3 linked regions of the Saccharomyces cerevisiae S288C genome follow. Changing the gene in region 3 together with the main gene of any one other region gives a genetic interaction. Each region holds a gene or a part of one and is shown on either strand. Other genes may lie near its edges.

Region 1 (4,176 bases), on a different chromosome or scaffold from region 3:
TCTCTGTCTAGTGGTTGTGGTTTTTCTAATTTCGCGTACTCTTCTTCTGGTAGTTGTGGTAAACCATATTTCAGATTATTGATCATATTATGGATAGCAAATAATGGGAACTGTTCTCTCATATTTAGGAATCTAACGTGGTGTGGGAACATTGTAGAGTTTAATGCAATGAAATTTATTTGGCCACGATTTTCCTTACCTAACTGCGTGAAAAGATCAGTGTAATCTTCCAATTCTTCCTCAGAAGTATAAAAGAAGTAAGCCAACGGCAAATTGCTAGAAATGTACTTGGGGAAGAGATCAGGTTCGATGTCGGTAAAGTAAGGTAAAATTACCACTTTTAACCACTGAGTTAGAGCAACGGAATTTCCGACCAAAGAGTCTACATTTCCATCAAACAGAATTGGTTCTGTAGTGTTTGGCAAGTGGATTGATAATGACTTATCTTCTGAATCTAGAAGGGATAAAAAGACGTAATCCTCAGCAAGGTCCAGTGCGACTTCTTGATACGTTTCATTCAAGCCTGTCAAGCCTCTGTTTATTACTACTGGTAAAGTTGCATTTTCCAAGTATGGTTGGATTTCATCTTCGGAATTTAAATAAATGACAGAAGCCTCGTATAGCTGAATCATGTACTGAGTGATTTCATCGGTGATCTTGACACCGCGATAGACTTGACCATCAAAAATACGACCATTTTTAAAGATTTTCAAGGTTGGGTAGGTATTTATAGTTTGTTGCAGGCAAACCATACTGTTAGCCTCACAATCAATTTGAACAACTGGGACGTTATGCTCCTTTAAAATAGAGGCGGCCTCTTCTAAGTGAGGGCGTAAGATCTGAGAATGCAAACACCATGGAGCAAAAAACTCGACGAGGACTAACGGATGAGATTCGATGAATGATTTAAATTTCTTCTCTGTTAGAACGAGTAAATCTGATCCCGGCGTAGCTCTTGCGCTGTTTTCAGCCAACGTGAAAGAAGCAAACAGGCAAAACGAGACTATCGCAGATATAAATCTTGTGGTCACTTGCATGGTATTATATGAGCGGGTGCTTGTTGGGAGATTGCCATATAATTGAAACGTCAAGTCTTGGAAATTGAAACTTTCTGAATGCTAAAATATCTATTGTCTTAACAAAAAAGGACACGCGTGCCTTTGAAAAAAAGTCTCGGTACTTTTCGTACATTGCCAACTATCGTTTACGTGTTTTGAAGGGAAAGCAAGCTTATATATATATATTTAATTTTGCTATGAAACAAAACCAAAAGACTAACCAGGAAAGTTAATCAGAGGATGACTGTTTTTGTGGTGGTGGGGCGAGGATGTCAGATTCTGCTGACTTCGCAGCGGTAGATGACTTATCTCTGCCTTCATTAAAATAGTCATCCATTGCCAATGGCTGGGTACCCTTTTTATTTTTTGATTTCTTCTTTGTTGGCACCGGTGGTGCTGTGAATGCTGATGGCACAAAAGCCGTCTCAGATTCTACTGGAACAGGAACAGGAACAGGGTTGTCATCTTGCCCCTGCTGCTGTGCTTGTTGTGGACAGTGCTTTACTGTTGGAATCCTGTGAAGAAACCCGTATCCAACGTTGCAACCCAACCTGCCGTCGGGACCTATATGAACTGTGATTGGTCTCACACAGTCAGAAACTTTGTTGTAGACATAAAGGACCAGATCGTAGTTTGCTCTTGATCTAACAATATCTTGTAAAAGCGTCTCCCCTCCCGTGGCCAACAGGCCATCTTGGCAGCCGATAATGTAGTCTTCATCTGGGATGAGCCCTGCCGATTGGGCGGGTCCATCTGGGATGTTCACGTTCAGGATATGGTATGTGAAAGTGGAAGCTATCAAAGGCGTCCATTGGACTTTGAACCCGAGTGCTTGGAACTGGTGCGCTTCCCCACTAGATGGCCTCCTCTCGTCATGGTTTAGAGAAACATCGTCCAAATCGTCGCTCTCCTTCGATATAATGCTGATATACTCGTCTCTGAACGTGCCTCCTTTAGCTGACCATATGTTGACCTTCAAAGTTCGGCCACAGTGTTCATTGAAGATGGATGTGATACGACGGTAATCTGGGTACGAAAATCCGTGTTGATTACTGACCACCGGCACCGGATCATCATTGAAACCTACTATATAGTCGAAAAAGGACTGCAGTTGGAACTGCATCTCGTCCACCCAAACAATGCGGAGACCGGAAAGCGTTTCATTGACGTTGGTGTGCTTAACACCTTCAGAAACCGCATCTACGGGTGATTCCAACTGAGCAGACAACAAATTTGGTGGTATAGACTGAAAGAAAGCGTCCAGATTGCTCGAGTCCTGCGAGAGTGCCAGGGTATCTTGCACGCTCTGCTCAAAAGTCCGTACGAGGTTTTTAGCTATTCTAAACATAGTTCTTCTTCCTATACCTTTTTACTTCCCTAGTTTCGCACGCTGTGTCGGTCGCAGTTACAGTAGTAGTCTCAGCACCCCTGTTCTTGGTCCTGATCCCGTTGCGACAAGCCCATTTCTTTTATGATAGCCAAAATGCAACTAAACCTCGTCGTCGTCGGCTTGCGTGTCCGCCGCGAAGACAGAAAAATAACGAAACGAACTTAATAGAAACGACCTAGATTTTATTTGGAAGCCAGCCCGATGCTATCTTCAAAATGGCTGTCACTGGGTGCAAAGGCGGTGGGAGAGCCCATTAAGTAATTTAATCGGGTTGTCTCACCAATGTTAGCCACAACGCAACGCTACGTCGCCACTCTGGCAGCCACCGCAACGAGCAGTAGCAACTACTTTCGGGTGGGCCCTTCAGGGGTAGTTGCCTGCGTCTTTGTTCGAAGAATCAAGTGACAAAAAACGCGGGGCATCCAGAAAGTCTTTTTGTGTGTGTCGTCGAAAGGGAAAGTGAGAGAGTGAGAGTGAATTAGTGTTTGTGTGTGTGGAAGACAGAGGAAGAAGATCGGGTCGTCGAATTCTATTATGCTTGCGATGCAGGGGGGGGAAACATGTATTCGGGATTATATAAAGTCGATTCTGTGTAAGTGTAAAATCTCATCTTGTCTCGTGTTCTTTTGTACGTCTCATACTTATAGGAAGTTTAAATAGAAACAGATATCAGTGTATCAAGGAAGAATTGTACAAGAATCGAATCATAGATACACAGTAATGTCATTTGAAAATTTACATAAAGTCAATGCTGAGGCATTGGAAGATGCAGTGGTTGAGATCTGCTCCTCATTGCAGGTTGATGCAGCAAAGTTGGACGAACTAACAGCGTACTTCATTGAATGTATGGAAAAGGGGTTGAATAACACCTCTGTAGGCGAAGAAAAGACGGTGGACAAGGGTCTACCCATGATCCCTACATATGTAACCAGTTTGCCCAATGGGACGGAACGTGGTGTTTTGCTGGCTGCAGATTTAGGTGGGACTCACTTCAGAGTGTGTTCTGTGACTTTGAATGGTGACGGAACCTTTGATATGCAGCAATTGAAGTCTAAGATTCCGGAAGAATATCTAAATGACAAGGATGTCACCAGCGAGGAGCTGTTTAGCTACCTGGGTCGCCGTACAAGGGCCTTCGTTAGGAAGCATCATCCTGAGTTGTTGAAGTCCACGGGGGAGAACATAAAACCTTTGAAAATGGGATTTACCTTCTCATATCCCGTTGACCAAACCTCTTTGAGTTCCGGTACTTTAATCAGATGGACCAAAAGCTTCAAGATTGAAGACACGGTCGGCAAGGATGTCGTGAGGTTATACCAGGAGCAATTAGACATTCAGGGGCTCTCTATGATTAATGTGGTAGCTTTGACCAACGACACGGTTGGCACTTTCCTATCCCACTGCTACACTTCAGGCTCTCGTCCATCGAGTGCTGGTGAGATTAGCGAGCCTGTCATTGGTTGTATCTTTGGTACTGGTACTAACGGTTGCTATATGGAGGATATTGAAAACATCAAGAAGCTACCAGATGAGCTCAGAACAAGACTGCTGCATGAAGGAAAAACCCAAATGTGCATCAACATCGAATGGGGTTCTTTCGACAATGAATTGAAACATTTGTCTGCTACAAAGTATGACATCGATATTGACCAAAAATTTTCTCCAAATCCAGGTTACCATCTATTTGAAAAAAGAATTTCCGGCATGTACTTGGGTGAGCTGTTAAGG
Region 2 (4,337 bases), on a different chromosome or scaffold from region 3:
ACGATGGATTCTGTTGCTAATGCGCAAATGGCAGCTCAGGCGGTATTAGATCCTAGAGTACATTACTTCATAACCAGATTGGCTCCTGCACCTCACGATATCAAGTGGGATCATGTTTGTCTTTCTAGAAAGGACCGGTTAACAAAAGTTTATTCTACTACCGTATTTATAGGCCTTTCAAGTTTGTTTTTAGTCATTCCTGTATCATACTTAGCCACATTGCTAAATTTGAAAACACTTTCGAAATTCTGGCCAAGCGTAGGGCAGCTACTAAAAGATCACCAGTGGGCCGCTAACATTGTAACGGGGCTATTACCAACCTATCTCTTCACATTGCTTAACTTTGGAATCCCCTATTTTTACGAGTATTTGACTTCTTATCAAGGATTGGTATCATACAGCGAAGAGGAAATCTCACTTGTTTCAAAAAATTTCTTTTATATTTTTGTCAACCTTTTCTTAGTTTTCACATTGGCAGGTACAGCATCTAATTACTGGGCGTACCTCAGCGATACCACCAAAATTGCTTATCAACTTGCTACATCTGTGAAGGAGTTCTCCTTATTCTATGTCGATTTGATTATATTGCAAGGTATTGGTATGTTCCCGTTTAAGTTGTTATTAGTTGGTAGTTTGATCGGCTTTCCTCTAGTGAAAATCAAGGCTAAGACACCTAGGCAACGGAATGAACTTTACAATCCACCGATATTTAACTTTGGACTACAATTACCACAGCCAATTCTGATTTTGATTATAACGTTGATCTACAGTGTAATGAGCACGAAAATTTTGACTTCAGGGCTGGCGTACTTTATTATTGGGTTTTACGTCTATAAATATCAATTGATTTTTGCCACAGATCATTTGCCCCATTCTACAGGAAAAGTATGGCCATTAATTTTTAGAAGAATCATCGTTGGATTGCTATTGTTTCAATTAACAATGACAGGAACACTGGCAGGATTCGAAGGAGGATGGGTTTTGTCATCTTGCCTTTTCCCGCTTCCAGTAGTGACATTATGTTTCCTATATGATTTCGAGAAGAACTATTTGCCGTTGTCAAAATATATCGCATTGAGTTCAATTCGCGAGTACGAAAGAGACAATTCTACGGTGAATTCTGCCAATGAGGAAGAGTCGTATGCATACCCTTACGCTGTGAGTGAATTAGAGGGTCCGATGTTGGATTGAAATCCCAAGGTGCTATTTCTATATTTATATATTTTGTTGTGAAAATGCCAAAATAAGATTTTTGATACAAGTAATACTGGATATTTTTTTATTTGCTTATAACAATAAATAAGTTCCTGACTTCTGTAGTAGTAGTATAAACTCCTGATGTATTAAATTCTTAATAACTGAAAAGTTAAACTTTGCCACGAAAACTATAAGTATTGGCTTAACCATGAAATATCGTAATAAAGACACACTTATAAAAATCTTTATGATATTCCAATAGGAAAGATTAGTTACAATCTTCAACGATTCAATAATATAGAGATTAGCTACCCACTTAATGATACTCATCGAAATTAGAGTATCATAAGGCCATATCAACATCAATATCGGAAAAATTTTGGCACCGTACGATAATAAGATCGTATATGATATGACATCCTTTGAAGAAACGGAATAGTGCTTCCAATGCAACTTTTTCAGTATGAAATACTGGGTAAAGGTGTGGAATAAAGAAACGTCAAGAATACAATAACTTGCAAAGTAAAGATATTGTATTGGTGGGCTCCAGGTAAACACTTTACTTGTAATGGTATTGCGCATGATTGCCGAGTCCCATTTGAAGCTCTCTGGTAATTTTTTTGAAAGCATGATGAGCTTACCATCATTATTGTTACGGTTCAAATAGTAGATGTATTTACTCTCCTCAGTAACCCAAGTTAAATAAATCTCGAATGATAATAGTAGAAGCCAAAGGCGATTTAACCGGTCATATTTACAAAACCAGTTCTTTACGTTAAATAACAAAGCTTGCGTATAGTCACGCAAACACTGGCAATCATTTAGCGCTTTTCTTTTCGGATATTTTGAGAGATGCAATTCCAAAGCATTGAATACCAAGTGTCTATATGCACCTGCTTTTAATAGAAGCAAATCAATGAATAACAGGACATTATCTATCTCAACATATTTGTCTACTGTCTCTTGGCAATATGGACAATCTGTCAGCTGAATGTGGTCATTCGAGTACACTGTATAAAGGGAATCTACGGGCCGCATGCACGTTATGCAAATCATCGTTTATCACAGCTAATATCTACTTTTTGATGCGCTTCATCCGTTCACTGACGCACCAAACCTTCCTTCTATGCAATGACAAGAATTTCTCAGCTTGATTTATGCCATTGATGTTTCTGAATCATCAATTGTTCACATAGGGCTATTCAATTTGGCCCGCTGTCCCTAAACTGAAAAAATACTAAGAAAAATTTTGCAAAAAATCTAAAATGATGAGGTGAAAGATCAAAAAAGAAAGATCAATAATTAAGAGGTTGGCAAGTCATCCTGATCGTGAAAAAAACTTAACAAGTACAAATAGAGTAATCAGCATTGGAAAATGTCTCGCGTTGGTGTCATGGTATTAGGACCTGCAGGTGCGGGGAAAAGCACATTTTGTAATTCCATTATATCACATATGCAAACTGTAGGACGAAGAGCTCATATTGTAAATTTAGACCCTGCCGCAGAAGCTACCAAGTATGAATTTACTATTGACATTAGAGATTTAATTTCCTTAGATGATGTCATGGAAGAAATGGATTTGGGCCCCAATGGTGCGCTAATATATTGCTTCGAATATCTTTTGAAAAATCTAGACTGGCTTGACGAAGAGATCGGGGATTTCAACGATGAATATTTAATCTTTGACTGTCCCGGTCAAATTGAACTCTACACGCATATCCCTGTCTTACCGAACATAGTGCGCCATTTAACTCAACAACTGAATTTCAACCTTTGCGCCACATATCTTTTGGAAGCGCCATTTGTGATAGATAGCTCAAAATTTTTTAGCGGTGCACTATCTGCTATGTCTGCGATGATTCTATTGGAACTACCCCATATCAATGTGTTGAGCAAACTAGACTTGATAAAAGGCGACATCAATAAGAAAAAACTGAAAAGATTTTTGAATCCCGATGCAATGTTATTAATGGAAACGGAAGGAATGAATCAAGCATCCAACCCTAAATTTCTAAGACTGAACCAGTGCATAGCCAACCTCGTCGATGATTTCGGTATGGTTCAATTTTTACCTTTGGAATCTAATAATCCTGACAGTATAGAAACCATATTATCGTATGTCGATGATATAACACAATGGGCAGAAGGACAAGAACAGAAAGAGCCTAACGACCAAATAGATGTCGAAGAATAGTTATAGAGAAAATTATGTACGCTTGATTCATATAAAAAGAGGTAAAAAAAAAAAATAGCTTCTCATAATAACCAATTCGGACTCGGGAAAGTACAAGTTCAAGTTTTTTATTGGTTTCTATATGTATAAGATAAAAATACCTAGATCTATTTAATTCTCTGTCTTGGGCCACCTGGTGATTTCTTATTCCTGGCTGTTAGGATTTCAACACCATGTTCGGTAACCAACAGTGTATGTTCAAATTGAGCACTCAGTTTACCGTCTTGGGTGGTAGAAGTCCAGTCATCAGGCCAGGTCATATCCTTCCAAGTACCTTCATTAATCATAGGTTCGATGGTGAAAACCATACCTGGTTTCATAACACCAGGTGTTCTATTCTTGGCGTAGTGGGGAATATTTGGGGAACAATGGAAAAATTCACCAACACCATGTCCACAATAAGTTCTTACTACACTGCACTTATTTTCGGTAGCGTGTTTTTCAATATGATCACCTAACTCTTGGAAGGTGGTACCTGGCTTACACATTTTAATGGCTAGTTTCAAACATTCTCTTGAGGTCTCAGTAGTATTAAGAGCTTCCTTAGAAATGTTTTCGCCGACATAATATGTCTCATTCAAGTCTGCATGATAACCTTGGTAGTATAAGGAAACATCTAAATTGACAATATCACCTTCCTTCAAGACAGTTTTATCGGGCACACCGTGACAAATAACTTCATTGACAGAGGTACAAAGCGATTTAGGAAAGTTGTAATAATTAAGAGGGGAAGGGTAGGCACCTCTCTTAATTGTTTCATTGTGGACGATTTCATCTAATTCATCTGTAGTGATGCCTGGTCTGACATGGGCAGCGGCAATATCAAGAACTTCTCTACCCAACATACATGCCTTTCTAATCTTCTTAATTTGATCTTTCTTGTATATAGGGATGTTGTTAAGTCTAT
Region 3 (4,135 bases):
CGTTATTTATGTATAGAAATTTTCATTTTCATTTAGATTCAGATTTGGTTATCTTTTTTCATTATATATCTTTTGCACTAAGTTTCAACTTAAGTTCTATTTTTTATTTTTTTTTTCTGGGCCCTGGAGCAATAGATATGGGATGGCTTACTGCATCTCTTCAAAATTTCACAGTCATGCTCACCCTTAAGTTCTCAACCTTTTAGTTTTTTTTTTTTTTTTTTTTTATTTTGTATGGCATACTAACTATACAAATATTTATATGTACATTTATACAGTAACCTATTATTTACCGATATTCACCGGTATTTTACTTTAATAGATGCTGGTAATAACGAAAAAAATTGATAACTCCCACCGACAATTGAGAAAAAAAGCAAAAAAGGAAAAAAGGGAAGCACGAATTAATACATTCTGTGTATTTATCTTTTTTATCTTCAGTTTTCCTCCAATCTATGGGCGGCCATTAAGTATGTCTATTATTCTTGGCCCTTCAGTCTTCTTTGGATTTCAATGTCTTGTTGGATTAGAAGTCATCACCACTTTCAGCAATCAAAGCCATGATCATTCTGTACAAGTAGAAGAAGAACATCAATAAGTGGAAACCTAACTTTAGGAAACTCTCCCTTTTATGTTTGCCTAAAGTTCTGAATATTTCGGTAGCATCCAAAAGTTGAACTTTATTGTAGATCTTGTTTAGATTGTAAGCTAGAACTGGTAAGTTCAATAAAAATACAAACCAGTAACCGTTCAGTAAGAATAGTAATGACAAAGCACCATGCAAGGCGGCTTCAGGGGTAATTAACTTGTTAACTTTAGAACATAATTCAATTGGATTGATATAGTCAGCTTCTAAATCAGCGTATAGTATTGTGAAATGCACTTGGCCAAACAAATTGATACAGTTGACAACAACAGCAAGGATAAATAACCAAGCACCCATTTTTCTTTTTATTCTTAATTTTTTTACTTTACTTTAATTGCAGTTCAAAGGTAAATGTCTTTGTTAAGTAGGCAGTGAGACATAATAATATGAGAAAAATCCAGGTCTCTCCTTCGTATTAAGGAATACATGATCTAGCTATCACTCTTAAATCTTTCTCCTTCCTTGTTTTTTCTCCGAAATGAAGAAAAAAAATTTTCTTCACGGAACTAACGTGAAAAAAAACTTTCAAAAAAATACTCCGATACGGGGAGTCGAACCCCGGTCTCCACGGTGAAAGCGTGATGTGATAGCCGTTACACTATATCGGAAACAAATTAACTGAAAATGTTGTATCTCAAAATGAGATATGTCAGTATGACAATACGTCATCCTAAACGTTCATACAACACATATGAAACAACCTTATATCAAAACGAACAACATGAGATAAAACCCGGCCTTCCCTAGCTGAACTACCCAAAAGTATAAATGCCTGAACAATTAGTTTAGATCCGAGATTCCGCGCTTCCACCACTTAGTATGATTCATATTTTATATAATATATAAGATAAGTAACATTCCGTGAATTAATCTGATAAACTGTTTTGACAACTGGTTACTTACCATATATATTATTGAGAAATGGGTGGATTTTGAGATAAATGTGAGAAATGGGTGAATGTTGAGATTGTTGGAATAAAAATCCACTATCGTCTATCAACTAATAGTTATATTATCAATATATTATCATATACGGTGTTAAGATGATGACATAAGTTATGAGAAGCTGTCATCGATGTTAGAGGAAGCTGAAGTGCAAGGATTGATAATGTAATAGGATAATGAAACATATAAAACGGAATGAGGAATAATCGTGATATTAGTATGTAGAAATATAGATTCCATTTTGAGGATTCCTATATCCTCGAGGAGAACTTCTAGTATATTAGGTATACCTAATATTATAGCCTTTATCAACAATGGAATCCCAACAATTATCTCAAAATTCCCCCAATTCTCAACATCCGACTGCCATGCAATGTGCTTTTCTGGATCTCACTCATGATCATAATGGCCCTGTAAAAGGCTCGTACTGTTATTATCATATCTTCAATTACGTATTATTTCGGAGGCTGTACCTATTAGTGAAATAACGCCTCTAAAAATGAAAAGAAGAAAAAGAATATGAAAGGGGTTCTGAATTGCTAAAATATTTCGTCAAAGCTCAATTAGTATCAAGATCAAGTCGTAATTCGAATCAGCATAACAACCTCCAAAACCATATAATAACCTTACACAAGACAAGATATCAATTCAACATGCAAACCCCTTCAGAAAATACCAACGCCAAGTCGGATTCTCTCGACGAACCCGGTGCATATTTAATCGAGGAAAATGTGGCTCTTCCTAAGGACATATTCCATTCGTACTTGAGTTATTGGATATATGAAGCAGCTCACTGTACACCGGTCATGCTTTTGTCTCTAGTAATTGGGGTTTTAATCTCAATAATTATTCTTTTTCATGATAACGAAAATTGCGTTGGGGTTTCTGTAGGGTTTCTCCTCATATTCTCTGGCATTTTAGTGATAGTTCTAATACTCAGGTTTGGACCACAGATCAGTGATGAAGATTTCAAATGTAAGCTACTGATGGAAATTATCACACGGAAACCTACGGTAAAGGGGAAAGAATGGAGGACAATTACATACAAGATGAACCAGTATTTATTTGATAACGATTTATGGAACACTCCCTACTACTTTTACCGTGATGAAGATTGCCACCGTTATTTTCTAAGTCTTATTAAGGGAAGAACTTTCAAGAAGCAAAAGGAATCGTCAGCCAGCAATGTTAAAGACGCACAATCAAATGACGAAACCGCTGGCACACCAAACGAAGCCGCTGAGTCTTCTAGTTTTAGTGCCGGACCGAACTTTATAAAGCTCCTCACCAAGGCAGCCGAAATCGAACAACAATTTCAAAAGGAATATTGGCGACAAGAGTATCCTGGTGTCGATGAGTTTTTTTAGACAGAAGACGGGAGACACTAGCACACAACTTGACAAAGGATCTACTTCTCGATTGACGACACTAGTAGGTGTCAAATTTAGTGTCATTTATGATTTTTTGTAATAGGATATAAATATATACGGCGCTCCAAATAATGCAGTTGCCCCAAAAACACCACGGAACCTCATCTGTTCTCGTACTTTGTTGTGACAAAGTAGCTCACTGCCTTATTACCACATTTTCATTATACATCACTTCGCAAAATGCAATATTGAAAATGCCTCTAGAGATGAAAAACAATCGTGAAAAGGGTCCTGCGTTATTAAAACATTTGATCAGTATGCAATGGCACAGAGACAATCAGGAATACTATAGTCATAGACGATACAAGGTATATATTGGTCATGCAGACCCCTCTAGAAAGTACCGACGTCAAGTTAGATACACTCAACGAACCTAGTGCACATTTAATTGAGAAAAATGTGGCTCTTCCTAAGGACATATTCCGTTCGTACTTGAGTTATTGGATCTATGAAATCGCTCGCTATACACCAGTCATGATTTTGTCCCTGGTAATAGGGGTTTTGGTTTTATTAATTATATTTTTTAATGACAACGAAGCTTGTGTTTTCAATTCTGCATACTACGCTTATCTTTCTCTTGTAGTATTGTTAATAATATTAGGTGATGGTAATCCAAAGCTAGTCAGTCGTCGAAATTTTAGGACCGAGCTTTTAGTGGATGTCATCACACGTAAACCGGCAGTAGAAGGGAAAGAATGGAGGATCATCACATACAACATGAACCAATATTTGTTTAATCATGGGCAATGGCATACTCCGTATTACTTTTACAGCGATGAGGATTGCTACCGTTATTTTCTACGCCTTGTTGAGGGAGTAACCCCCAAGAAGCAAACAGCCACGTCAATTGGCAATTCTCCGGTCACCGCTAAGCCTGAAGATGCCATCGAGTCAGCTTCTCCTAGTTCCAGACTGAATTATCGAAACTTTTTGCTCAAGGCAGCGGAGATCGAACGACAAGCTCAGGAAAATTACTGGCGAAGGCGGCATCCCAATATCGATGCGCTTCTTAAAAAGACGGAATAGCTTAGAGACACTGCCATACGTAAAGCGAACATAAACTAGAGTATGATATATAATCAGCACTAACTGGCCCGAAAACGGCCGAAGAAGC

What was found.
Region 1: mutations in ERV14 (region 3) and GRH1 together harm fitness more than expected from each alone (negative genetic interaction), as found in Saccharomyces cerevisiae (4 studies listed by BioGRID).
Region 2: mutations in ERV14 (region 3) and ARV1 together harm fitness more than expected from each alone (negative genetic interaction), as found in Saccharomyces cerevisiae (5 studies listed by BioGRID).

The regions. Positions count from the first base shown.
Region 1 is NC_001136.10:1,475,469-1,479,644, reverse strand, and holds GRH1 (Grh1p), read right to left. Parts: upstream 2,407-4,176; coding exon 1,288-2,406; downstream 1-1,287. Other genes in the region: protein disulfide isomerase EUG1, read right to left, coding at 1-1,037; EMI2 (putative glucokinase), read left to right, coding at 3,169-4,176. UniProt on the Saccharomyces cerevisiae protein: Involved in the spindle assembly checkpoint. Involved in ER to Golgi vesicle-mediated transport by either facilitating USO1-dependent and -independent tethering or increasing target accuracy of fusion events of COPII-coated vesicles.
Region 2 is NC_001144.5:621,631-625,967, forward strand, and holds ARV1 (sterol homeostasis protein ARV1), read right to left. Parts: upstream 2,254-4,337; coding exon 1,288-2,253; downstream 1-1,287. Other genes in the region: CSC1 (Csc1p), read left to right, coding at 1-1,191; putative signal sequence-binding GTPase GPN3, read left to right, coding at 2,573-3,391; methionine aminopeptidase MAP1, read right to left, coding at 3,538-4,337. UniProt on the Saccharomyces cerevisiae protein: Mediator of sterol homeostasis involved in sterol uptake, trafficking and distribution into membranes. Also regulates the sphingolipid metabolism. Required for growth during anaerobiosis and sterol uptake.
Region 3 is NC_001139.9:400,345-404,479, forward strand, and holds ERV14 (cornichon family protein), read right to left. Parts: upstream 944-4,135; coding exon 527-943; downstream 1-526. Other genes in the region: pheromone-regulated DUP240 family protein PRM8, read left to right, coding at 2,245-2,958; DUP240 family protein MST27, read left to right, coding at 3,343-4,047. UniProt on the Saccharomyces cerevisiae protein: Could regulate export of the bud site and axial growth sites selection protein AXL2 and possibly other secretory proteins from the endoplasmic reticulum in COPII-coated vesicles. Seems to be required for axial budding pattern in haploid cells.